Ovis aries: one gene and its partners. The protein of the gene in region 1 interacts with the protein of each later gene in a biochemical or structural test. Links are inferred from orthologs where the notes say so. Each region holds a gene or a part of one and is shown in the gene's direction. Other genes may lie near its edges.

Evidence for each region. The genes of interacting proteins can lie anywhere in the genome.
Region 2: the proteins of NF2 (region 1) and SPTBN1 form a complex in vitro, tested with the Homo sapiens proteins (2 studies listed by BioGRID and IntAct). The link is inferred for Ovis aries from reciprocal best matches to the Homo sapiens genes NF2 and SPTBN1.
Region 3: the proteins of NF2 (region 1) and AMOT form a complex in vitro, tested with the Homo sapiens proteins (2 studies listed by BioGRID and IntAct). The link is inferred for Ovis aries from reciprocal best matches to the Homo sapiens genes NF2 and AMOT.
Region 4: the proteins of NF2 (region 1) and NHERF1 form a complex in vitro, tested with the Homo sapiens proteins (2 studies listed by BioGRID). The link is inferred for Ovis aries from reciprocal best matches to the Homo sapiens genes NF2 and NHERF1.
Region 5: the proteins of NF2 (region 1) and CD44 form a complex in vitro, tested with the Homo sapiens proteins (2 studies listed by BioGRID, with this or other methods). The link is inferred for Ovis aries from reciprocal best matches to the Homo sapiens genes NF2 and CD44.

What each region holds. Positions count from the first base shown.
Region 1 is NC_056070.1:68,771,179-68,776,510, forward strand, and holds the start of NF2 (merlin), read left to right. Parts: upstream 1-1,584; 5' UTR 1,585-2,021; coding exon 2,022-2,135; intron 2,136-5,332. UniProt on the Homo sapiens protein: Probable regulator of the Hippo/SWH (Sav/Wts/Hpo) signaling pathway, a signaling pathway that plays a pivotal role in tumor suppression by restricting proliferation and promoting apoptosis.
Region 2 is NC_056056.1:69,371,633-69,375,643, reverse strand, and holds the end of SPTBN1 (spectrin beta chain, non-erythrocytic 1), read left to right. Parts: intron 1-790; coding exon 791-833; intron 834-1,595; coding exon 1,596-1,814; 3' UTR 1,815-2,911; downstream 2,912-4,011. UniProt on the Homo sapiens protein: Fodrin, which seems to be involved in secretion, interacts with calmodulin in a calcium-dependent manner and is thus candidate for the calcium-dependent movement of the cytoskeleton at the membrane.
Region 3 is NC_056080.1:121,856,888-121,861,777, forward strand, and holds part of AMOT (angiomotin), read left to right. Parts: intron 1-1,716; coding exon 1,717-2,206; intron 2,207-4,890.
Region 4 is NC_056064.1:55,965,064-55,969,953, reverse strand, and holds the end of NHERF1 (Na(+)/H(+) exchange regulatory cofactor NHE-RF1), read left to right. Parts: intron 1-1,982; coding exon 1,983-2,023; intron 2,024-3,128; coding exon 3,129-3,218; intron 3,219-3,410; coding exon 3,411-3,605; 3' UTR 3,606-4,288; downstream 4,289-4,890. UniProt on the Homo sapiens protein: Scaffold protein that connects plasma membrane proteins with members of the ezrin/moesin/radixin family and thereby helps to link them to the actin cytoskeleton and to regulate their surface expression. Necessary for recycling of internalized ADRB2.
Region 5 is NC_056068.1:64,543,993-64,548,294, forward strand, and holds the end of CD44 (CD44 antigen), read left to right. Parts: intron 1-2,197; coding exon 2,198-2,402; 3' UTR 2,403-3,202; downstream 3,203-4,302. UniProt on the Homo sapiens protein: Cell-surface receptor that plays a role in cell-cell interactions, cell adhesion and migration, helping them to sense and respond to changes in the tissue microenvironment.

The sequences.
Region 1 (5,332 bases):
TTCAGAAGGAGATCAGCCCTGGGACTTCTTTGGAAGGAATGATGCTAAAGCTGAAACTCCAATACTTTGGCCACCTCATGTGAAGAGTTGACTCATTGGAAAAGACTCTGATGCTGGGAGGGATTGGGGGCAGGAGGAGAAGGGGACGACAGAGGATGAGATGGCTGGATGGCATCACTGACTCGATGGACGGGAGTCTGAGTGAACTCCGGGAGTTGGTGAAGGACAGGGAGGCCTGGCGTGCTGCGATTCATGGGGTCGCAGAGAGTCGGACACGACTGAGCGACTGAACTGAACTGAACGGAACTGAACTGAATGTGTATATAATAGCCAGCAAGTAACTCTGTCAGGCTGACTTTCTGTTTCTTCACCTGTAGGGGGGGTGATGCTAACGGCTAACATTTGTGGAATGTGTTTCGTTCAGCCATTCAGGTATTCAACCATTAAGTCTCATTTAAAATTGAACATTTTTTTAAATAAACGAAACTGTATTCCCCCATCTCTCTCTCTCACACACACATCCATATAATCCTTGATGACAGTAAAACATATGTTTATGATCCAAAACTGGAAATCACAGAGTAAAAAATGAAAAATGCTTTCTTCTTTCCTTTTGTTTGGCTACGCCCCAGCAGCCTGCAGGATATTAGTTCCCTGACCAGGTACTGAACTCCCACAGTGAAAGCCCATAATCCTAACCACTAGACAGCCAGGGAATTCCCCCAGAATACTTTCATTGGGGGAGGGGGGGGAAGTATCTACAAAAAAGAGCAATTTCATAGGATTCGACCTAAAATGACCAGCCACGTTCTAAAGCTTTATACGCCTCAACAATCCCGTGGGGTAGGTACAATTATTATCCACCTACCTCCATGGGGTCTCAAAGACTCCGACAGGACTTAGCGACTGAACAACGACTTAGAGACTGATAACCCTCGGTAATAATTAGAATTTCTCCCTAAAAAGAAGCAGAAGGATTCCGGGGGGTGGGGGGTGGGGGGTGGGGGGTGGAGGGCGGTAAGTGCTGCCTACCTAAACGGCCTCCACAAGTGATTTGAGAGTTTGAGAAACACAGAGGTCAGCACACGTAACTAATTTTAAGTGCTCAACAGGCTTATCCACCCGGTGTCCAAAACACGATCCCCATGGGGCGCCACACCTGGCGCCGACTTGGTCCGAAGTGCAGTCCCTCACGGGAACAGGGGGTGACGCGTCTCCCGCGCCCGGGTACCAGCCTCTACGTGTTTCCCTGGGAAAGGGTCGGCGGGGCTCAGGCACCTCAACCAGTCTTGCTAGAGTAGGCGTACCTCTTAGAAAACAAAAGCGTTCGGAGTGACTGTCACCGTAGCCACTCAACGGCGAGCCCAGGCCCGCGCCTCCAGTCAGATCTGAACTTCCGATTGGTGAAGTGATGCCGAAGAGGGTGGGACACAGCGGGAAAGTCCCGTCTCCTTCGGAGCGCTCAGCCAACCGCGGCATCCGGGCGGCAGCAGCCGGGTTTGGTTGCGTCGTGTGTAGTGATTCTTGGGGGCCCGAGGGCGGGGCGGGGAGCAGGCCGGGGGCTGCGGGGAGGGGACGCTTCCCGCGGGCGCGCGGAGCGAGGACGGTGACAGCCACGCGCGCACGTGCGCGCCCGGCTGCAGCGCGGCCCTGAGACCTCCGTCGGCCGCTGAGAGGCGCGCGGGCTCTGGGCAGCCGCCGTCTAAGGGCCCCGTCCGCGGGCGTTCCCAGCGTCCCCGGCCCGAGTCCCGGAGAGCGGGGCCGTGCCCTCCCCGTCGGTCCCCGATCGCGATCCTTGCCCAGGGCCGTCAGGGTCCGCCCCCGGGACTCCCCTTTCCGTTCCTGGGCAGGGTCCTCGCGGCCCATGCCGGCCGCTGGGGGCCCGCGCCGCTCAGACAGCTCTCCGGCCGGCCGGCCGGCCACCATGGTGGCCCTGAGGCCTGTGCGCCTCCTCCAGGGAGGCTAAAAGGTCCCGAGCGCAGGCCTCGGGGCGCGAGGGTCCTGCGCCTGAGCCCCGCGCCATGGCCGGGGCCATCGCTTCCCGAATGAGCTTCAGCTCGCTCAAGAGGAAGCAGCCTAAGACATTCACCGTGCGGATCGTCACCATGGACGCGGAGATGGAGTTCAATTGCGAGGTAACTGGCCTGCAGCCCCGACGGGCTGCGGCGAAGGGCAGCCCTTTGGGATCTGGCCCTGGTTTGGGTCCGGCACCGACCCGGGCGCCCTTGCCGCGGTGACAGTCAAGGTGGAAGCTTCGGGATTCTGTTTATATCATCTCTGGGCAAAGATAGAGTCGGCCAGATCCGGAAGGGGCCATCTAGGCCCAAATCCTCACGTTAAAGATAATGACTGCTTTTTTTTCAATGGGGCTTTTGGGTTTGGAAGCACTTCCTGAAGGTTTTCATTCATTGTTACTGCAGAAGTCTGAAAGCATCAGTGGTAGCGAATTCTAGCTCTCAGTGTCACGCTTTAGCTCTGGCTCTTTAGAGTTTCAGCTTTATAAGATGATATAATCATAGGTGTTAAAAGTTGCATCTCGTTGGGAAAGTCTATATTGTTTCCCTTTTTCACAGCCTAACTTTTCTAGAGAAAAGTCTTTGAGGAAAGTGATGGTATCTTAAACTTTGCATATAGTTTCTGTCCTGTAACAGGTATCATTTATTGAATACTTAAGTGTCTGACATTCATTCACTCCAAACAACTCAGTTTAACCCCTCTGGAAATTGTCCTAAGGGCAAGCAAGCATCAAGTGAAAAAACATCTACTCAAGAAAATCTATGAAAATGCGGTAAGAAAGGCAAGAGTTTGTGGTATTTGTTTTTGTTTTGGCCGCAAGGCATGCCTTATCTTAGTTCCCCAACCGGGAATCCACGCCCCCTGCAGTGAAAGAGCAGAGTCTTAACCATTGGACCACAGGGAAAATCTCAGGAGTTTGCGGTATTAATATTTGAACCAAGACCACTGCCACCCTCCTGCTCTCAGCTCTGGACGGCTGCAACCCAGGATACTGGGCTCTCTCCCCTCCCTAGCTCCCAGTCCGACAGCTTTCTTCCCAGAAGGAGCATTACTTTAGGGCTTCTCCTGTCCAAGGCTGCTTGATACTGAGGCTCAGTCCTTTGTACTCTGGGCGTTGCTCACCAAGAATACTGGATTCCCAGTGGTTCTGTCCCCACCCTCAGTTTGTGAGATGGGTGGTACCAACCAAGAGAGACAAACTGAGAGGACTTCAAACTGGCACCCCCCCCCCCCACAACTTCTAAGAGATTTTGCCTGGAGGGAGAAGTAGGCTTAAAAACCCTTAGCTTCTAATCTCTTCCCAAAAGCATTTGCTTCATTTGCTGTAGTGAAAGTGAAGTTGCTCAGTCTGCGGCTCCATGGACTGTAGTCTACCAGGCTCCTCCGTCCATGGGACTTTCCAGGCAATAGTATTGGAGTGGGTTGCCATTTCCTTCTCCACGGGATCCTCCCGACCTAGGGATCGAACCTGGGTCTCCTGCATTGCAGACAGATTCTTTATTTACCCTCTGAGCCATCAGGGAAGTCCTATTTGCAGTAGAGACTGGAGAAATTTATGCCTAAGGGTGCTCTCCAGAACTGTGAAGGTTTTGGTGAAAGGCAACTGGAAGGAGATCTGTGGATTTAATGAAGATACTACTGTAGGCAGCTAGTTTGCAGGAGAGTAAGACAGCTGGGAAGAGCCCTCCTGGTCAGAAAAAAATGTCAGACACTGATCTCAGAAATGGTTCTTTCAGAAGAGCCACCTTTTGATTGGATTACTTTGTAGAACAAGTTATGCTCTAGGGTATTGTTGGAAATAATAGAGCAATATATCACAATAGTGGAGTGTAACAGTTGGGTGTTTCCCTGGTGACTCAGATAGTAAAGAATCTGCTTGCAGTGAGGGAGACCTGGATTTGATCCCGGCATTGGGAAGATATCCTAGAGAAGGGAATGGCTACCCAGTCCAGTATTCTTGCCTGGAGAATCCCATGGACAGAGGACCCTGGCGGTCCTAGGGGTCATAAAGAGTGGGACATGACTAAGCCACCAACACTTTCACTTTCAACAGCTGGGTGTGATCAGGGAAAGGGAGGAAGAGTGTCCTACTAAGACCATTGTCATCTCGGGTGACTTTCAGTTCAGTTCAGTTCAGTCGCTCAGTCGTGTCCGATTCTTTGTGACCCCGTGAATCGCAGCACACCAGGCCTCCCTGTCCATCATCAACTCTCGGAGTTTACCCAAACTCATGTCCATTGAGTCGGTGATGCCATCCAGCCATCTCATCCTCTGTTGTCCCCTTCTCCTCCTGCACTCAATCCCTCCCAGCATCAGGGTCTTTTCCAATGAGTCAACTCTTCGCACGAGGTGGCCAAAGTATTGGAGTTTCAGCTTCACCATCAGTCCTTCCAATGAACACCCAGGACTGATCTCCTTTAGATTGGACTGGTTGGATTTCCTTGCAGTCAAGGGACTCTCAAGAGTCTTCTCCAACACCACAGTTCAAAAGCATCAATTCTTCAGTGCTCAGCTTTCTTCACAGTCCAACTCTCACATCCATACATGACCACTGGAAAAACCATAGCCTTGCCTAGAGGGACCTTTGTTGGCAAAGTACTGTCTCTGCCTTTCAATATGCTATCTAGGTTGGTCATAACTTTCCTTCCAAGGAGTAAGCGTCTTTTAATTTCATGGCTGCAGTCACCATCTGCAGTGATTTTGGAGCCCCAAAAAATAAAGTCTGACACTGTTTCCCCATCTATTTCCCATGAAGTGATGGGACCAGATGCCACGATCTTCGTTTTCTGAATGTTGAGCTTTAAGCCAACTTTTTCACTCTCCTCTTTCACTTTCATCAAGAGGCTTTTTAGCTCCTCTTCACTTTTTTGCCATAAGGGTGGTGTCATCTGCATATCTGAGGTTTTTGACATTTCTCCCAGCAGTCTTGATTTCAGCTTGTGCTTCTTCCAGCCCAGCGTTTCTCATGATGTACTCTGCATATAAGTTAAATAAGCAGGGTGACAATATACAGCCTTGACGTACTCCTTTTCCTGTTCAGAACCAGTCTGTTGTTCCATGTCCAGTTTTAACTGTTGCTTCCTGACCTGCATATAGGTTTCTCAAGAGGCAAGTCAGGTGGTCTGGTATTCCCATCTCTTTCAGAATTTTCCACAGTTTATTGTGATCCACACAGTCAAAGGCTTTGGCATAGTCAATCAAGCAGAAATAGATGTTTTTCTAGCACTCTCTTGCTTTTTCGATGATCCAGCGGATGTTGGCAATTTGATCTCTGGTTCCTCTGCGTTTTCTAAAACCAGCTGGAACATCTGGAAGT
Region 2 (4,011 bases), on another chromosome or scaffold:
GCCCCCTTCCTCTTGACGCAGCCCTCCCAGCCAGTCCCCTCTGTGTCACAGCAGTGGCCTCACCAGGGCAGTTTCTTCGGTTCTGAGATGTATGTAAGAAGAGAAATCTAGGAGACCTTTTCTGTGACTTTCTGTCAGTTCAGAAAGTCTGGTATTTGTTACTGTGGGGCATGTAAACTCAGTGGCAAGATTTCAAAAGGGCTTATGATTTTCAAAGAGCTTTCTCTTGCGTTCAGTTTAGAGCAGTGATCAGTCCATCCAGGTGGTCTTTGCCACAACAAATCCAGGTATAAATACATTTGGAACATTTTTGATCCTTCCAGTGAATGAAACGAGCTTCCCAGGTGGCATTAGTGGTAAAGAACCCACCTTAAAAAAAAAAAAAGAGCCCGCCTGCCAGGAGACCTAAGAGACGTGGGTTCGATCCCTGGGTCAGGAAGAAACGGCAACTCACTCCACTATTCTTGCTTGGAGAATCCCATGAATAGAGGAGCAGCCTGGAGGGCTACAGTCCATGGGGTCACAAAGAGTCACACACGGCTGAAGCAACTTAGCACACATGCAGTGATTGAAACACACAAGTCGCTTGTGTATATTGGCCCAATTATATGGCCTTTTGATGTCCGGGGGTGGCTGCCGATCCCATGCAGGCCCGAACACATTGAGTGATGTGTGCAGGGTTCCGACGGGCATTTCTAGTGTGACTCCTATGTCCCACAGAGGATGTGAGAGTTAAGGGTTTTTTTCCCTTAAGTGATATTGTGACTGACTTTCTTCTTTCAAATTACAGACTAAATGACGGCAATGAGTACCTCTTCCAAGCCAAAGATGATGTAAGTTTTGAAGATTCTTTTTTTTTTTTTTTTTTTCAAATACAAGTTTACAAGTGTTTGTGGCCTGATGAGCATTATATATGGTGCTCTTCACATAAGTGATGATCAGCGGTGGCATCTGTCCTCTGGTCTCCACAGTCACAGACGCTGGAAGGTTTTCTGTTCTCCTGTGTCTGTCAGGGGCAGTAAATGTCATCTCATTGTTCTCCTACCCTGGCAGGAAAGCTAGCGCAGGGTCTCTTGAAGTTTGTGGAAGAGAACTGTGGGTGACGCACAGGGAGGTGGTCTCCAAACTGGGGTGGAGCCCACAGCCCAGCTAGGAGCCTCCCCTCTGTGCCCACTGCACTGTACCTCTTGTAACCAACCATCGCTTGGCTGTATGGTCAGCCGATGAGAAAACATGCGTAGCGCGTTAAATTCAAACAAAGCAACTTCTGTTAAGTTTACACAGTGTGGTATATCAAATAGATTTCTATTTCAAAAAAGAAAAAGCACTTTGTAGGGTAGGACCTGACCCCCGTGCTATAGGCCAGTCTTCCAGCTCGTCACATTTGTAGGACCATATACTACAGTGGAGACCTTCAGGTACTGTCAACTGAATTCAGGCGTTTGTTAGAGAGCCACTGTCCCTTCTCAGGCAGACATGCTATTCCTAAGTTTTCCAACCCACAGCAGCTCAGACGGTCACCCAGGCGGAGTGAGAGTATCTCATGTCCATCCAACTTAGATGAGTCTCACCTGTGTTCCCCCTCCTTTTTCCAGGAGGAAATGAACACATGGATCCAGGCCATCTCCTCTGCCATCTCCTCTGATAAACACGAGGTGTCCGCCAGCACCCAGAGCACGCCAGCATCCAGCCGGGCTCAGACCCTGCCCACCAGCGTCGTCACCATCACCAGCGAGTCCAGTCCCGGCAAACGGGAGAAGGACAAAGAGAAAGACAAAGAAAAGAGGTTCAGCCTTTTTGGCAAAAAGAAGTGAACTCCTTTCTGTCACTTCCTGCCCTTCTCTTCTTACCTTTTCAGTGAAATTCCAGCATGCAAGCTCAGAACCAACACATTACTCTCTGTGCCTAAATGTTTCTCCATGTGGTTGATTTTTTTTCTTTTAATTTATAGAGCATTTCTCGGGGAGGGTGGGGAAAAATACAACCTAAACACTTTATCTCCAAGTTAACAAAAGTTTGAGGTGCAGAGGGAAGACCAGATTTTTTTTTTTTTTAACGAAATTATATAGATTAGATCTCAGTATTTAAACTGTTCCTCAATTTTGTGAGGCTGTGTTGGAAATAACCCGCCTCCAGTGCTGTTGGTATGCAAGGCAGCGGTGCTTAAACAATATTTCCTGTGCTCGCCACAGACCGTACCAATGTCCCAACACCATTCTCTCCCATTTACTCCCAGTGGTTTGACTATTAGAAGCGCCCATGATGGGTCTAACCTGGATTAAACAGATTGTGTGTGATGATCTCGCTGCAGCCACAGTGCAGCCCCACTGTTAACTCTACAGACCAAGCCACTTGTACCTGGCATCACTTACTAACACACGACATGCAGCTTTTCTGCATCAACCTGGACAGCAGTTAAGAATGTCGGGATACAAGAAGGAATAGAAAACTGATACTGTTTTAAATAATCTGTAATTTCAACTTTTTTTTTGCTGAAATACATTATATTGTATGTTTGAGATAATTCTAGTACAAAGTATAATAAAACTAGATGTATAATAAACCCTTTAAATCATTGGTAAGTGTACAAGTGGAACCGAGGCATTTACTGGACAAAGTCATGTTACCGTAATGGTTACTTGCTTGTGCGTTACCACACTGTGTTATAATTTGCTTCATTACCTTGCTCTTTGATACATAGTGTGCATTTCTCTGTCACTGTAACAATTATAATGACAAATTTTCATCTTACTGCACAATCAAAATGGCATTGATAGGAATGAACTCCAGAGGCTGGGCCTGACAAGGAGGTTGGTCACTCAGGCCCGGTGCTCAGTCGTATGACCTGTACCTCTCAACTTTTGCCCTATCTGTTAAATATATGCGATGTCATTAAATGCTTTTAAATCTAGCACGGTGGGTGACTGTTGTTTTTCCTCTCCTTGCGTGCACGCCATGTAGGGGATTTGCACAGTGCAAAATAGCAGACGGGAAACAGGAGACTGTCCATCTGGGTACCTGTTGCACATTCTTGTGTATGTCTGGTGTCCCAGCTTTGAAAAATCACAAGAAACAGAGCAATAAATATGGAATGTTTTGTAGCCATACATCCAGATTTTATCTTTTAATTATGAAAATGTTATCAGAAAGCTCACCAAACCTGAGCTCTGAGACTAGGGTTCAAAAACATTTTCAGTAAATAGAAGTAAGTAGGTATTTTAGGCTTTGTAGGCCATACTCTGTTGAAACTCCGCCACTGTGTATTACAGAGGCAGCCGTCAATGATACGTGAACCCATGGGCATGGCTGTGTTCCAGTAAAACCATGTGTGTGGACACAGAGTTTAATTTTATATCATTTTCATATGCCACACAATATTCTTTTCTGATTTTTTTTTTTAAATTTTAAATGTAAAATTTATTTTACACAGATTGTGCAAAACCATATCACAGGCCATGTGTGGCCCATAGACCAGTTCGCTGATGCCAGCAGTAGGGGTCATGGCTTAGATATGTGTGTCATACTTGTCCTAGTTGATTGATTCTGTACTGCTTGCATATTTTCTAATGTGCAGTAGCAATGAAGGTTAGTATTACAGACTTTCAGTAGTTTATTCCCCAGAGGATATGCTTAACCTGACCTCACAGCTGACTGACATCAGGGGTGTTACCCTTAGGTGGACTGAGATCTCACTGTTTACTACCCACTCCCTTCCCCCACCCCGTCAATCCCCATGCCCCTGTGTACCCAGGGTTGTTTATCTCATCACAACGCTCCTTTACCCTTGCCTTACTCAGGATTGGAATCAAGTTGTTCATTTCTTAACAGGTAGACCTCTGACCAAAACGTTTAGTTTAGAAAAGGCATCTTGGAAAATAATCGTGATTGACTACGGCCTACCTAACAAAGCCAGGCAGGTGGCAGGCGGGCCACCCTCGGAAGGAAACTAAGCAGCAATCCCAGATTCCCATGAAAAGTAGATTCGGCTGGAACATTTCACACATAATTCTA
Region 3 (4,890 bases), on another chromosome or scaffold:
ATACATGAAATTGGAAGAATGTGGGTACACCAGAGCCACTGATGGGGCTGAGCAACAACCTTCAACTTGAATAGGTTTGAGGGCTCTGGTGAACATCTGGGTTATTGGGTATGTGTGAGCAAGTGTTTGGAATGGTTTTGTAGTGGTAAAAATCCGTCATAGTAAGGATCTCTTGTAGTGATAGATAAATAAACAGTAATGATAACTGGAGTTATGTGTGGGAGGGAATGTGCTTTAGCATCAGGAATGCCAGTTAAAAGTTAATTGCTCCTGATGATTTGTCCCAGTTTCGCCACAAATTTTATGCAATGTAGTGCAAAGATTAAGTGGATATCCCATAAGTAAAATCACTAACAGGGTCAACCATTCTCATTGGGAGGTAGATATGTGACTGTTTGTAATTCAACACTGAGAAGAGCCCAATATTTTAGTAATTCTTTTGTGACCTCGGGAGCAAAATAGGCTCATGCAGATGAAGTAACTTGAGCAAGGTTACACAGCTAGTAAGCAGTAGGAAAGGTCTCCAAACTCTGTTGGGATCCAAATCCTGTGCTCTTAGCCATCTGTCTTCCCTGGATTGAGAAATAACAACTGTAGGACAGGCATCCACTGGATGTGGGAGTATATTAGGTTAACTGGGCAGGGGCAGGGAGGTGAACATTTTGTGTGTGTGTTTGGTGTATACTGACATATTCTTCCTGGTTGTGGCAATGGTGGAAATAATCAATTTGCATACACTGTTTCCATTAATGGCTCATAGTCCAGTATTAGGTACCAAAATGGAAAAGTCACATTAAACCATGTGCCAAAGTTCTCTTTCTGGAACTTTCTATAAGTAATAGATTGGGAATCTGAACATCACTACAAATCAGTGCATTTTATTTAATAGTAGTGGAAAGAACCTGAAAATGGCATTTAGCTTCTTCTACCCTGGCACTGCTTCTAACTCATTCTATAATATTTGGCAGAATACTTCTCCTCTCTGGACCTCAGTTTCCCCCTCTGTCCACTGACAGACTTGGACTACATAATTTATTTAAGGCCTTTCCAGTCGTTACATTTTGTGATTCAGTACATCAAAATTGTATGATAGTGTTACTTATAATCCCTTCCAACTCTTGGAATTATTGCTGCTAAAAAACATCATTCAGTTATTAACAACTCTCATCAACAATAATTATTTGGTGTCTCTAATATAGTAAGTACCTGTATATCCTCAGGTAGTTTTTTCTGACTATATGAATTATCAAAGAGAGTTGCAGATAACAAGATGAGGGGTAGATTTGATGACGGTTTGCTCTTTCCTTCTGGGCAAGTGGAACGAACTTTCTGTGACTCTTTCTGTGTGCAGGGCCATATACAGGATGCCAGAAAAAGCTTAGTTTAAAATCATGAGGTGACAATTACGTTGTCAAAGGCGCATTTGAAATGCTTAGACTTGAGAAACAAGTGTATAAGGATGCATTACTTTGATTTTCACAAAGCAACCTTTGAGATCATCTGATCTGTCCTCCATAGGATCACACCTCTGTGGGTCAGGTATTGAGAGGAGGCCAGGTGTGGAAGGGACTGGAGAGGTCTTGGGAGAGACCTTGTAGTCCAACCCTGCCTGCTCCTCATTTTGCACCTGTTCTGGGGGCCCAGAAGCCTCCACATCTCCCTTTCTTGTGCCTTCAAGTGGGAGTTTAACCTGAGTACACCCTCCGTGTTTTCCAGGCCAACACAGGACATCTCATTGCCTTTGTCAGCCCGGAACTCTCAGCCTCACAGCCCTACTTCTTCCCTCACATCTGGGGGTTCCTTGCCCTTGCTGCAGTCTCCACCATCTACTAGATTGTCTCCTGCCCAACACCCCTTGGTCCCCAGCCAAGGAGACCACTCGGCTCACCTGCCTAGGCCACAGCAGCATTTCCTTCCTAACCAGGCTCACCAGGGGGATCATTACCGTCTCCCCCAGCCTGGCCTGAGTCAACAGCAGCCACAGTCACACCATCACCACCATCACCAGCAGCAGCAGCAGCCAGGAGAAGGCTATTCCGCTATGCCACGAGCTCAGCAGTCGTCTGCTTCATATCAGCCAATGCCAGCCGACCCTTTTGCCATTGTTTCCAGAGCCCAGCAGATGGTTGAGATTCTCTCAGATGAGAACCGGAACTTGCGGCAGGAGTTAGAAGGATGCTATGAGAAGGTGGCGAGACTGCAAAAGGTGAGACCTCCGTATGGGGCTATTTGAGTCTTTTTGAAATCTTATTTGTTTAATATTGATATAAAAGTGTCCACTTGTGGGTCCCTGTATGACATATGGGCGGGTCTTCAGGATTCTTATATCTGAAGGTTAGATGGAGCAAACTTTAGAAAAACCTTCTGCCTCTCTAGAAGTAACATTTCACAGAAACCATAGCCCCCAAGAAAGCTTAACTGAGTGTTTGAGAATTACAAAAGGCAGGGAAACTGCTTCAGAAGGTCAAGAACACTGGAGAGGGCTCTTTTGGAGAAGTACCTGCCAGCATAAAGACTTTTCCTTTTGATTGCATTTTTCCAAATACAAAGTACTGAATTTGAATCTTAACTATAAATCCATAGTTCCCAGAAAAATCTCATCATTGAAGTTAGATCCTGACCTGCCTTGTTGTGGAAAGGGCCTAGAGTACTTTTCCAAGTGGTAGTTTTCATTGTAACTTTTTCAATGCCCTTTACTTTCCCCCCTTCTTGTGTTGGTCCTTCCCTTAGCTCAAATGAAACATCTGCTCTCCTCTGGTGTGTGTGGGGAGCAGGAGGGGTTTAGCACACCACAGATGGGTGACATGTGACAGCCCGAGGCTAAGGAAGTAGCAAAAGAAGTGTATGTCCCAAGTTCACATTCTTCCCTGGGCCCCTCCTGAGTCTTTTGCAGCTGGGACTTTAGGTCTTGAGTGCCCTAAGCTAGGAACCTTAGCTCTTAGCTTCCTGTGGCTGGTGGTGAATAGGGTTCTGCCTTTGGCAGCCTCTTTGCAACTTCTGTCATTGTGGAGCTCCTTTGGTTTGATCTCCCAGACAATGCAGACTGCTCAGGGATGTGAGGATGAAGGTGGAGGAGGGAAGGGAGGTTGCCTGGTATTGTTCAGTAACTCTGTCCTCAGGAGACACCCAACAGTGGAAATTTCAGGGGCCTGAATGAAGCTAACACTGTGTAAACACCAGATCTGAGTCCTAAAGGAGAGGAGGGCTTATTATCAGCTAAGTATTTTTACGGAACAAAAAAAATGCCTTTACCGCGCCTAATGTTCCCAAGTCTGGATGGATGGGGGTTGTTGAGTGAGAAATGTTTCTTACTGGCTTTGCCCCCAATTTAAAATTTTCCCTCTTCTCTCATACCTGCCCCTGTCCCATCACATTGGTACTCACACACTATAAGCAGACTGGTCCAGTTCGGCTGATTAGGTTTAACAGTTGACAATGCTCCCTAAACTCTTATTTGTGGTGGCCCTGGCCCCATCTTTGATATAGTAAATAAAGGGTGAACCCAGATCTTCTACAGACTCTCTTTTCTAGAGGATAGTGATTTTTTTTTTTTTAATGAGGGGGAAGATGGGTGGCAGGGAGGTGGAGCAGAAGAGTCTGGGTTGTTTTGTTCTCCAATATTGGGAAAGATGCCTCAACCAAGTGCAACTGGGACAGCTTGAGTGCTGGGAGAAGTGAAAGCTGACCCAACACTGCAGTGGGTTAGAGGCACAGGTGGGTTAGAAGAGGACAAATGAGGGGAATAAGGTAGATGTCAGCTGGTGCTGGGAAAAATAAGAAGGCCTGAGGCTCATGAGGGGAATAAGTAGATAGAATCAACCTGGAAACCCACCACCATCCTCTCTCTCCCCTCACCTCCCACCACAGACCAAACCGATGGATATGCCCTTCTGTGTCTCCTTTTCCTGTTGACAGATGTACAACTTGCCCTTTTAGTGGGGGCAGTATCTACAAATGGTATTGGGAAAGGATTGGTACAATGTCTTGAAATAGTACTCTGAACAACTTGAGTAAAGGGGCTGCCTTCCATGAGGATGCGGAATAAAAGGAACCCTTATACACTGCCAGTAGGAAGGGAAGGTAAATTGATGTAGCCACTATGGAAAACAGTATGGAGGTTTCCCAAAAAACTAAAAATAGAACTATCATATGACTCAGCAGTTCCATTCCTGGATGTGTATCTGAAAAAACAAAACATTCAAGAAGATGCATGCACCCCAGTGTTCATAACAGCATTGTGTACGATAGCCAAGATATGGAAGCAACCTAAGTGTCCATCAACAGATAAATGAATAAAGAAGATGGAATACTGCTCAGGCATAAAGAGAATGAAATTCTGCCATTTGCAACAACATGGATGGACCTGGAGGGTATTATGAAAAGTGAAATAAGTCAGAAAAAAAATACTGAATGATATCACTTATATGAGGAATCAAAAAAATACATCAAACTAGTGAATATAACAAAAAAGAAGCAGACTCAGAGATACAGAGAACAAACTAGTGATAACCAGTGGGGAGAGGGAAAGAGGGAGGAGCAACATAGGGGGAGGGGAGTAAGAGGCACAAACTATTAGGTATAAAATAAGCTATAAGGATATATTACACATCGCCAGCTTCCCTGGTAGCTCAGCTTGTAAATAATCCACCTGCAATGCAGGAGACCTCATTCAATTCCTGGGTTGGGAAGATCACTGGAGAAGGGTTAGGCTACCCGCTCTAGTATTCTTGGGCTTCCCTGATGGCTCAGATGGTTAATAATCCACCTGCAGTGTGGGAGATCTGGGTTCGATCCCTGGGTTGGGAAGATTCCCTGGAGGAGGAAACGGCTACCCACTCCAGTATTCTGGCCTGGAGAATTCCATGGACTGTATAGTCCAGGGGGTCACAA
Region 4 (4,890 bases), on another chromosome or scaffold:
GTGCTCTGCTCCCTGGTCTGGACCTTCTCCCTGGGAAGATGAAGACAGCTCCCGAGGGGGTGGGAGGCGCTAGGTGGAACCTCTTTGGACTGTGCAGTGGGTGGGGCTTCCTTGAGGGTCAGATGTGGAGCACAGGGGTCCACACAGAGGTCTTGCCACAAATTCAGATCGCCAGCTTGGTGGGGCCCAGTGGGTCCTGGGGGTATCCTGGAAGCCACTAGCAGACTCCAGTCATGGGAGGTGGGTACCACTGTGCCCTTGTCTCCCAAGTTCATGGAAAGCAGGTAAGTCTGATAATCCCCATCCTCACTAGGGGGAAAGCTGTGGCCCCGAGAAGCCCCCAGCCTTGCTCTTGGCAGTGTGGTGTGGGAAAGGGAAAGTGCTAGTCGCTCAGTCCCACCTGACTGTGGTCTGTAGCCCACGAGGCTTGTCTGTCTGTGGAGTTCAAGGGCATGGGTCACCATGCCCTTCTCCAGGGGATCTTCCTGACCCAGAGATGGAACCCAGGTCTCCTGCATTGGCAGGCAGATTTCCTACCCCTGAGCCACCAGGGAGGACCCAGTGTGGGAAGACAGCTGAAATCTGGACTCCACTTGGCTGCTCCTCTACCTTCCCCTGACTCCCCCAGCACCCTTCTCCCCCGACTCCCAAGTCATCAACCCTCTCTCTTCCTGGCTGGGGAGGAAGGGCCCTGGGAACCTCCATGACTGCAGCCTCTGATCAGAGGGTGTTCCCCCTCCCAAGTGCATGTAAGTCTGCGCGTCCCCAGCCACTGCCTCCTGCCCAAAGCTGGGCAGCCCACGGCTCACAGGTGAGCGGGTGCAGTGGAGGGTGAGTCAGGGTCCCTGTGTCCCCTGCCCAGCCACTGTGGGAGGGCTGGACGAGAGGTGTGCCTGCCCAGTCCAGGGCAAGGAGAAAGACGTACCCTGACCTTAAGCTATGAGTTCAGAAGAAACCCACCCAGGCTGACCTGAGAGGGAATAGCCCCCTTTGCGGCCAGGTGGGGTGTCTACCCTGAGCAAGGCCTGGGAGGGTGACCCCAGGCCGTGTCCCTGCCCTCTGACCCCACCTGTCGCCACCAGGTTCCCCCTTGGCTGGGGGACGGCACGCCCAGGACTCTGCCCTGAGCCCTGGGGCCCCCTCCATCCCCACACTGGCCAGGAGGAGTTGGGGTTCTTTCGCAGCTGGTGCAGGTGATAATCATAACCAGGGCGTGGTCCCAGTTCTGTTGACACAACCATCACCTAGGAAGCATTCGAAAAATACTGATTCCTAGGCCTGTCCCAGACCCACGTAGATAAACACCTTGGTGTCAAAGCCCAGGGATCTGTATTTCTAACCAGCATCCCGGGTGGTTGGGAGGCAGCTGCCTGGAATTTCAACCCTGTCTACAACAGCGCTTTTTTCAAACAGCTCCTTACTCATCAGTGGTTCTTGGGATTAATTAAGTAGGCACCTTTCTTCCTTTTTTTTTTTTTTTCAACTTTTTATTTTGTATTGGAGTGTAGGCGATTAACAATGTTATAACAGTTTCAGGTGAACAGCTTAGGGGCTCAGCCATACATATACATGTATCCATTCTCTCCCAAACTCCCCTCCGGTCCAGGCTGCCGCGTAACACTGAGCAGAGTGCCCTGTGCTGTGCAGGAAGTTCCTGTCAGTTCTCCACTTTACATATGCAGTGCGCACATGTCCATCTCCAGCTCCCCAGCCGTCCCTCCCCCATCTTTTTAATCAATCTGAATAGGAAATATCAAAGAGCCTTGCGATGTAGTAAAGGCAAGTTGTTTTGTTAAATGCTAGTCTGAGGCTGCTGGGTTGCCAGAATGTCCGGTGTACTATAGTGGGGGGCAGTCAAGAGACTTAAACACTGAGCTTGGGGAACAAGGTCGAGTGGTCTACCCAAACCCACGACCCCCGCCTTCCGCGCCCCCCTCCGTCCACAGCTTCTGACTCACCTGCGCTCTCCTCTTCCCATCTAGGTCCCTTGCCTGAGCCCATTACCAACGGGGAGATCGAGAAGGTAAAGGCAGAGCCCTGATGCTTCTCGGGCTCAGTCCTGGGGCTGCGGGAGGTGGGGGAGGAGGCGTGGTTAGGAGGAGGACAGGGTCTGGTTCAGGTGGAAACCTCGTGTCTCCTGGCAGCTGTCTCCTGAGCCCCAGGCCGTGTAAGGGCCCCCGCTTGGGGCCGAGGCAGAGGGGACGGGGCCGCCTGGCCAGGCCCTCCGCAGCCACCATCCTGGGTGATGGGCCCCGCCTCCAGCTCCCCACCACACAGGAGGCCATTCTTCCCCCCAAGAACAGAGCGGCAGTGTCTGCCCGCCGCCTGCCCAGGCCCTGCTACTTCCAGTCTGGGTTGGGAGAACAAAGCCCCTCCTACCCAGGCCGAAGGGAAGAGGAGGCAGTGGGGGCCGGGGGAGAGATGGTGCAGCCCAGTGCCAGCTGGGGCCACAGGAACCCAGGCAGAAGCGGAGTGCCCAGTTGCAGCCCAAGGCCTGGGCTCTGGGACAGCGCCCTCAGGGTCAGACTATGGGGTGAGAGGGCTCCTCGGGGTCTGCTCTAAGGCTTCCTTTCCCTGGGGTCTCCTGCCGGGGTCGGGGGGTTGTGCAGCAAGAAGGCCCTGAACCACCTGAGCCTTCAGTCACTTTCCCTGTGGGTCTCTCACTCTCCCCCACCTTATTCCCTCGAAGCCCTTCTTGGCTGCTTGAGGGTTGATTTCAAGAATCCGGGGTCAAGTCCAAGAAAACAAGTCAGGTGGGCTGTAGGAGACTCAGGGGGCATCACGGGTGTTCCCCACACCGAGCAGTCTCCCGGCACCCCCACGCCCCAGGAGGCCCCTCTGTGGTCACTGTGCCAAGGAGGAGTCAACTCCAGAGGCTGCCTGGGAGGACAGGGGCGGTGTGAGCCACCCAGCTAGTCCCATGAGGGATGGTCCCACTGCCCTGGATGGTGGAACCTGGCTGCCCTCTGATCCTTGGAAGAATGTGAAAATGTAAATCCCCGCGGGGCCCTGGCAGGCTCAGGCAGGCTCTGGGGTGGATGGCAAGGCTCAGACCGAGGCCCCGTCTTCCCCGGGAATGCCCTTCGTAGCTCAGGCCTGCCCACCCACATGCCTCCTCTCCGTACCAGGAGAACAGTCCTGAAGCCCTGGCCGAGACGGCCTCCGAGAGCCCCGTGCCACCCCTGGCAAGAACCGCCTCCAGTGACACCAGCGAGGAGGTAAGGCTGGGTGGGTGGGGGGTGGCCCCGGGTGACAGCAAGTCAGGCGTCGCTCACTCCTGGCACACCAGCCCGCCGTGGAGGTCACACGCTGAGTCACGTTCTGTTCTCGTGACCTGGCTTCCCCACACATGGCCTCAAGGGAGCACTTCGCCGAGGCACTGAGGCCCGCTCTCTTGCTCCTCTTTGCAGCTGAATTCCCAAGACAGCCCCAAGAAACAGGACTCCACAGCACCCTCGTCTACCTCCTCCTCGTCCTCTGACCCCATCCTGGACTTCAACATCTCCCTGGCTGTGGCCAAAGAGAGGGCCCACCAGAAGCGCATCAGCAAACGGGCCCCGCAGATGGACTGGAGCAAGAAAAACGAACTCTTCAGCAACCTCTGAGCCACACCCCCTGCACCAGCAAAGCCCAGTCCCACACCCAGCCAACTCCCTCTCCCCCACTTACCCCCAGATCAGCACACAAATCAGCACCAGCATCTCCTCTCTCGGCAAATCTGATCTTTCTAGAGAACCATACTCTTCCCTTACCTCCGACAAGGTGACTGTTTTTCTGTCCTGCCCCAGTTAAAAAGCAGACTCTGTGCCCCTCCTCGCTGGGTGCTTCAGCCCACCTGCAGTCCCCCTGCCACTGTCCTGGGACGTCACTGGGACCTCCATCGAGCAAAGATCCTAAGACTGGGCGAGAGGTCACCTTCCCTCCTGACCCCAAGTGATGACCAGGTCTGGGATCTACCAGGGAAGGATTCTGACCACAGCAACATCCTGGAGTGGACTGGGGCCACCATCCTCAGAGCTGTGACTTGGGCATCTTATTTTTGATTTTTAAGTGCAGTACTACAGAGTTTAGAAGGACTTTCAATTCTTGATTAACATGATTTCCCAGGTTGTTGCATCCGGGACGTAGCAGTGGCCTTACCCTTCCTTCAACTTTTTTCTGCCCCACCCCCCACCCCCCCAGAGACCTAGGCAACATGGGGAGGGTTTGGCCACCCCCTGCCCAGCCCTGAGCCAGACACAATTGTAAGGAAATTCTTACCCGAAATTCAACTAGTTTCTCCAAACCACCTTGGCCTCTGTGTGTTCCTTTGCAGCTCTGTCCATGCGTGTCCCCAGAGTGGCCTCGGGCTGAGAGGATGGTCTAGGGCTCCCTAGGACCCCAAGCCCGGAGCCAGAAGTGGGGTGGCTTTAACCAGAGGGCCTTGAGCCTGTAGCCGCTGGGTGGCTAGGCCATGCGTGGGTCCTGTGGGAGGACCCGCCGGGGCCCCTGTGTGCTTGGCTCACTAGGGCTGCCCTACAGGGATGACCAGCAGGGAAATGGGGAGCTTAGGGCCCACGTGCGCAGAGGGAGGGCTCTAAGACCCACCTTGGATCCCAGGAGCGTTCAAAGAGTGAATCCACAATGGAGCCAGACTTGGAGACGGAAGGCTTGGCTTTAATCTTTCTGCCCACAGCCAGGGAGGTGCAGATGCCCAGGCATGGCCCAAGCTGGTGTCCCTAACCCCCCCAGATACTCTCATCTTACTTGGCTGTGGACCTGACTGGGGATGGGGAGGACAGACCTGGCCTGCTGGGCCCTGGGACATGCTTGTGGCAGGTGGGGTGGAAGGGACCTTCCAAGGCTGAAAGGCCCTGCTCCTCCACGGGAGGTCCGGGTCTCTATGCTGCT
Region 5 (4,302 bases), on another chromosome or scaffold:
TAAACCAAGAGCTGCAAAAGCAAAGACAAATGAGATAACCCTTGGTAATCCGAATAAAACACAGGCAGCACCTCCCTTTGGCCTTTTACGACATTTTCATCGTAAACATAACAAGAGGAGTGGAGGTAGCAGAAGAATCAGCAAACATTTCACATGGCTCTGTTTATACTAACAAGTACAGCAAGTGCCTCTAGAACATTCACTGTGTTTCGGGTGCCGTTCTAAGTGCTTATCCAAGGCCTCGATTTCCTTACTATTCCTTGTTCAGAAAAGCAACAGATAAAATGGTGGTAAACTCATGTATCCAGTGCCAGCCTCTGGTTCAAGGGATTTCCACAGTCTTGTGACATTGGCACTCTTAACAGCCTGGTGTTACAGATAAGAAAGCTCAGATAAGTTAAGTGAGTTGCCTGAGGTCACACAGTGGTAAGGCCCTCAAGCCAGGCCTTCCAAGCCCCTGCTCTTGTCTATGTGGATCCATATGCTCAGCCCTACAGATCAGCAGAGGTCAAGTGTCCTTCCTCCCGCCCTCATCAAGAGTCACGCCAGAGGATACAGGATCAACCTCATATTCAGGAGGTATAATTTTTACTTCCCCAAACAAGTGGTTAAAGTTTATGGCCCTGGCAGTTCCAGAGGGAATGGCCCATGATCATGAATAATAGAAGCTTTGTCTCTACAACTCCAAATATCCAGCGGCAAAGTGAACAATTCCGACTTCATACTTGTTCCAGATCTCCAGATGGTTAGCAGCATGAATAAAGCAAGGGCAGTAGAGCTGAGACTTTGGGTCATAAAAGCCTACATTTGAATGTTGCCTCTGTCCCTCTTACTGGCTGTGTGACCTCAAGCCAGTTACTAAACCTCCCTGAGCCTCAGTTTCCATTGCTGTATAATGGGAATAACAGCTGCTTTGTGAGATTATTGTAAAGATTACGTGAAATTACATGTAAAGTGCCTGACATTCAGGAAGTGTCCAATAAACGCACATTTCCCCTCACTCCTGCTCTACTTGTAGTTGTGAGGGTTTGCACCTTTGCTTTTGTTTAAGCAGCATCTGACTTCTTGATGTGTGGCAGTGATCGTGTTCCAGGAAAGAGGAAGCATTGCTTCAGGCTGGGGCGGGGATAAGGCAATGCCCTGACCCAGCAACAAGATCAAGGTCATGCTCATCTATAGCAGACCTTCTGCATTTGAGTAATGTTATTAAGAAATCTTAAATAGTGAACGACTTCCCTTATATAGTTAAACTTCCCGTATCTAAGGTTACATGGCAATGAACCAAGCATAAGGGAAAAATCAGTGTGGCCTTATATCTTCCCTGGTGGCTCAGATGGTAAAGAATCTGGCTGCAATGCAGGGTTCAGTCCCTGGGTTGGGAAGATCCCTTGGAGAAGGGAATGGCAACCCATTCCGGCATTCTTGCCTGGAGAATTCCATGGACAGAGGAGCCTGCTGGGCTAGAGTCCATGGAGTCGTAAAGAGTCAGACACGACTGAGCAACTAACACTATACTTCTAGCAAAGCGGTGCCTCATTCTTCTTCGTATTTGCAATAATAACCCTGACAACGCCAACAAAGTGTTGACTGGGAGAGGAAGTAAAGGGACTTTCTTGAATACACAAATCAGAATGATTTACAGTCATCCCGTTGATGGTTTATCTAAGCCTGCAGAAACAGCCAGAGTTTAACAGAGGCAAACATTTCCCTTACATGATTTGATGGAAGGAGAGTTAGAACTTGGGAGTCAGACACACCAGGGTTTGAATCCCAGTTCTCTTAGTACTTGTTCAATAACCTGGGGCAAGTGATGGAATTTTCCGAGCCCAAGATTTCTTTAGCTGTAATGGGGGATACAGTGAGCACTGGCTTCCCATAGCTGTGACCACTGATTCTCAGACTCACTTCAGGTAGCCCGTGAGGGTTTGCTAAGTCCCAGACTCTGGTCCCCGTTCCTCGAGTTTTCTGATTCGGGATGTCTGAGGTAGGCCTGAGAATTTGCATTTCTAACAAGTTTACAAGTGATGCTTTGGCTACTGGGTCAAGGACTTTGCTGTGAAAAGTGCTGATTGTTAAAAGTCAGTAGGATGAAATATACTCAGATTATCATAAACCATAGTGATGGTGGTATTAACTGTGACGATGATGACAAAACCATTGTACCCATTTCTCTTATAATTTTTTTTTCAATTCTTAGGTGTGGGCAGAAGAAAAAACTGGTGATCAACAATGGGAATGGAACCATGGAGGAGAGAAAGCCTAGCGGACTCAACGGAGAAGCTAGCAAGTCTCAGGAGATGGTGCATTTGGTGAACAAGGGGTCGTCAGAGACCCCAGACCAGTTTGTGACGGCAGATGAGACACGGAACCTGCAGAATGTGGATATGAAGATTGGGGTGTAACACCTACTCTGTGACCTTGGAAATAAACCACCATTGGAGACACAACCATTACAGGGAGCTGGGACACTTCACAGATGCAGTGTGCTACTGATTGTTTCATTGGGGATCTTTTTTTTTAGCATAAAATTTTCTATTCCTTTTTTGGGAGTTTTTTGTGTTTTATTTTTAAAAGTCAGATCCAGTTGATAAAAACCTCATTGCTTTCTGAAATGAGGGCCCAGTTAATAATCAGCAAGAATTGGACTGTTCTAGTCTATGGGGTCGCACAGAGTCGGACACGACTGAAGCGACTTAGCAGCAGCAGCAGCAGTCCCCACCGAGAAGTGTCTCACCTCCCTGAGGTGTGTGATGGGCAGCTTCTAACAAAAGCCATGCGTCCATCTTCCTGACCCTCAACCTTCCCCTTCACCCCACCCACCAGGGAACAGCCACCTGCTAAGGACATCCCCAGGGCTAGGAGGGATTGGCCCCTGGAAGGAAATTTGAATGGGTCCATGTTGCCCTTCCAGCAGCCCAATCCCTGGGCATTTCTTTCTAGTGGGGTTAGGGGTGGGGGTGTACTGGTTACACATCCCCTTCTACAGACTCCCTGGAAAATTTTCAGATGCTTCTGGGAAATACCCAAACGGTGAAGCTATTTATCTAGAGTAAGCTATTTATCTGTGTTTTTGAAAAATGAAACCCTGGAGGTCCTTTGATCAGTGATTTTTTTTTTTTTTTTTTTTGGTTGCCTACCTGGTCAGAGGCATAAAAGGGTTTCTGCTGATTCATAATAAACACCTGTACTTCTTCCACCTTAACCCTTTGTGCTGTGGTCTTTCAGTTTCCTAATCAGCAAAGCCTGGGTCCCAACAGCTCATCAGGAAGAGGCGAGGAGGTCCTCCTTGCAAGTCTTCATCTCAGAGCCATGAAGCCCCCACTCAGGCTCGCTCACCCGAATCTCATAGAGGACCAGGGGAGACAGTATTGTTTTACTTCTGAGGTTCCAAAGGTATTCTATCCTGTCCTACAACCAAAACTGTGAGAGGAGGAGCTTCAGCTGCTTTTATGTACTAATGGCCGCCTATTCTTTCCCCTGAAAGGCGGTGAAAAGTCATGTTACATGTGCATGACCTACCATTTGTGATGTTCCATGGTGTTGTCCAAAAACAACACGGAAGTGCCTTCTAACCTTTTGTAATAAAAGGAGAAGCCAGTAGAAATGAAGGCGCACAGACAGTGGCCAACAGACGGGCACAAGCAGGGAAAGGGGAGCAGGGAGCAGCGCAGATCCTGTCGGAGGATTTTTATGGCCGTGTTTGTACATGGTTTTTCAAGCCAGTGGTCTCCATCCAAAGCAGTTGCTATTCAGGGTTAACTTAAGTGGCTGGAGAATCCCTCACAAGGTTACAGGGCTTCCCACCTTGGATTCACCACCAGATCAGCAGTTATATGGCCAAATAAGAGAATAATGGCTTTATCTCCTGCTGGGCAAGTCTTTAGCAGTCTTTGTATAGAAGTTCAGGAGACTGTTGGTCCTAAAACTTCCAAAGGCTGCTGGTTATAGAAGAAATGGAATCTATGAAAATAAGGGGTTCCATAAACTGGGACCTCCTTCCTTAGGCCCCCAGAAAAAATAATTTTCCTACACTGATTACAACTGACAATGTTTCCCAGCCCAAATATGAAGAAGGAGGAGGAGAAGGGAAAAAAACTGTCCCATGTGAATCAGGGCTGGGCTTACACCCAGAATGGATTCTGAAGAGTATATCAGTATTTAAAGGAGAGTTGCCAGCTTTCTGCTCATTCAGAAACTCGACTCTTCCCCATCCACGCTCACAATCCCCTCCCCATCCTGGTCTTTGAAAGTTTCCTTTCTCTTCTGGGGATATCCTCAGTCAGCTCCATAGTTAGCTGTCTG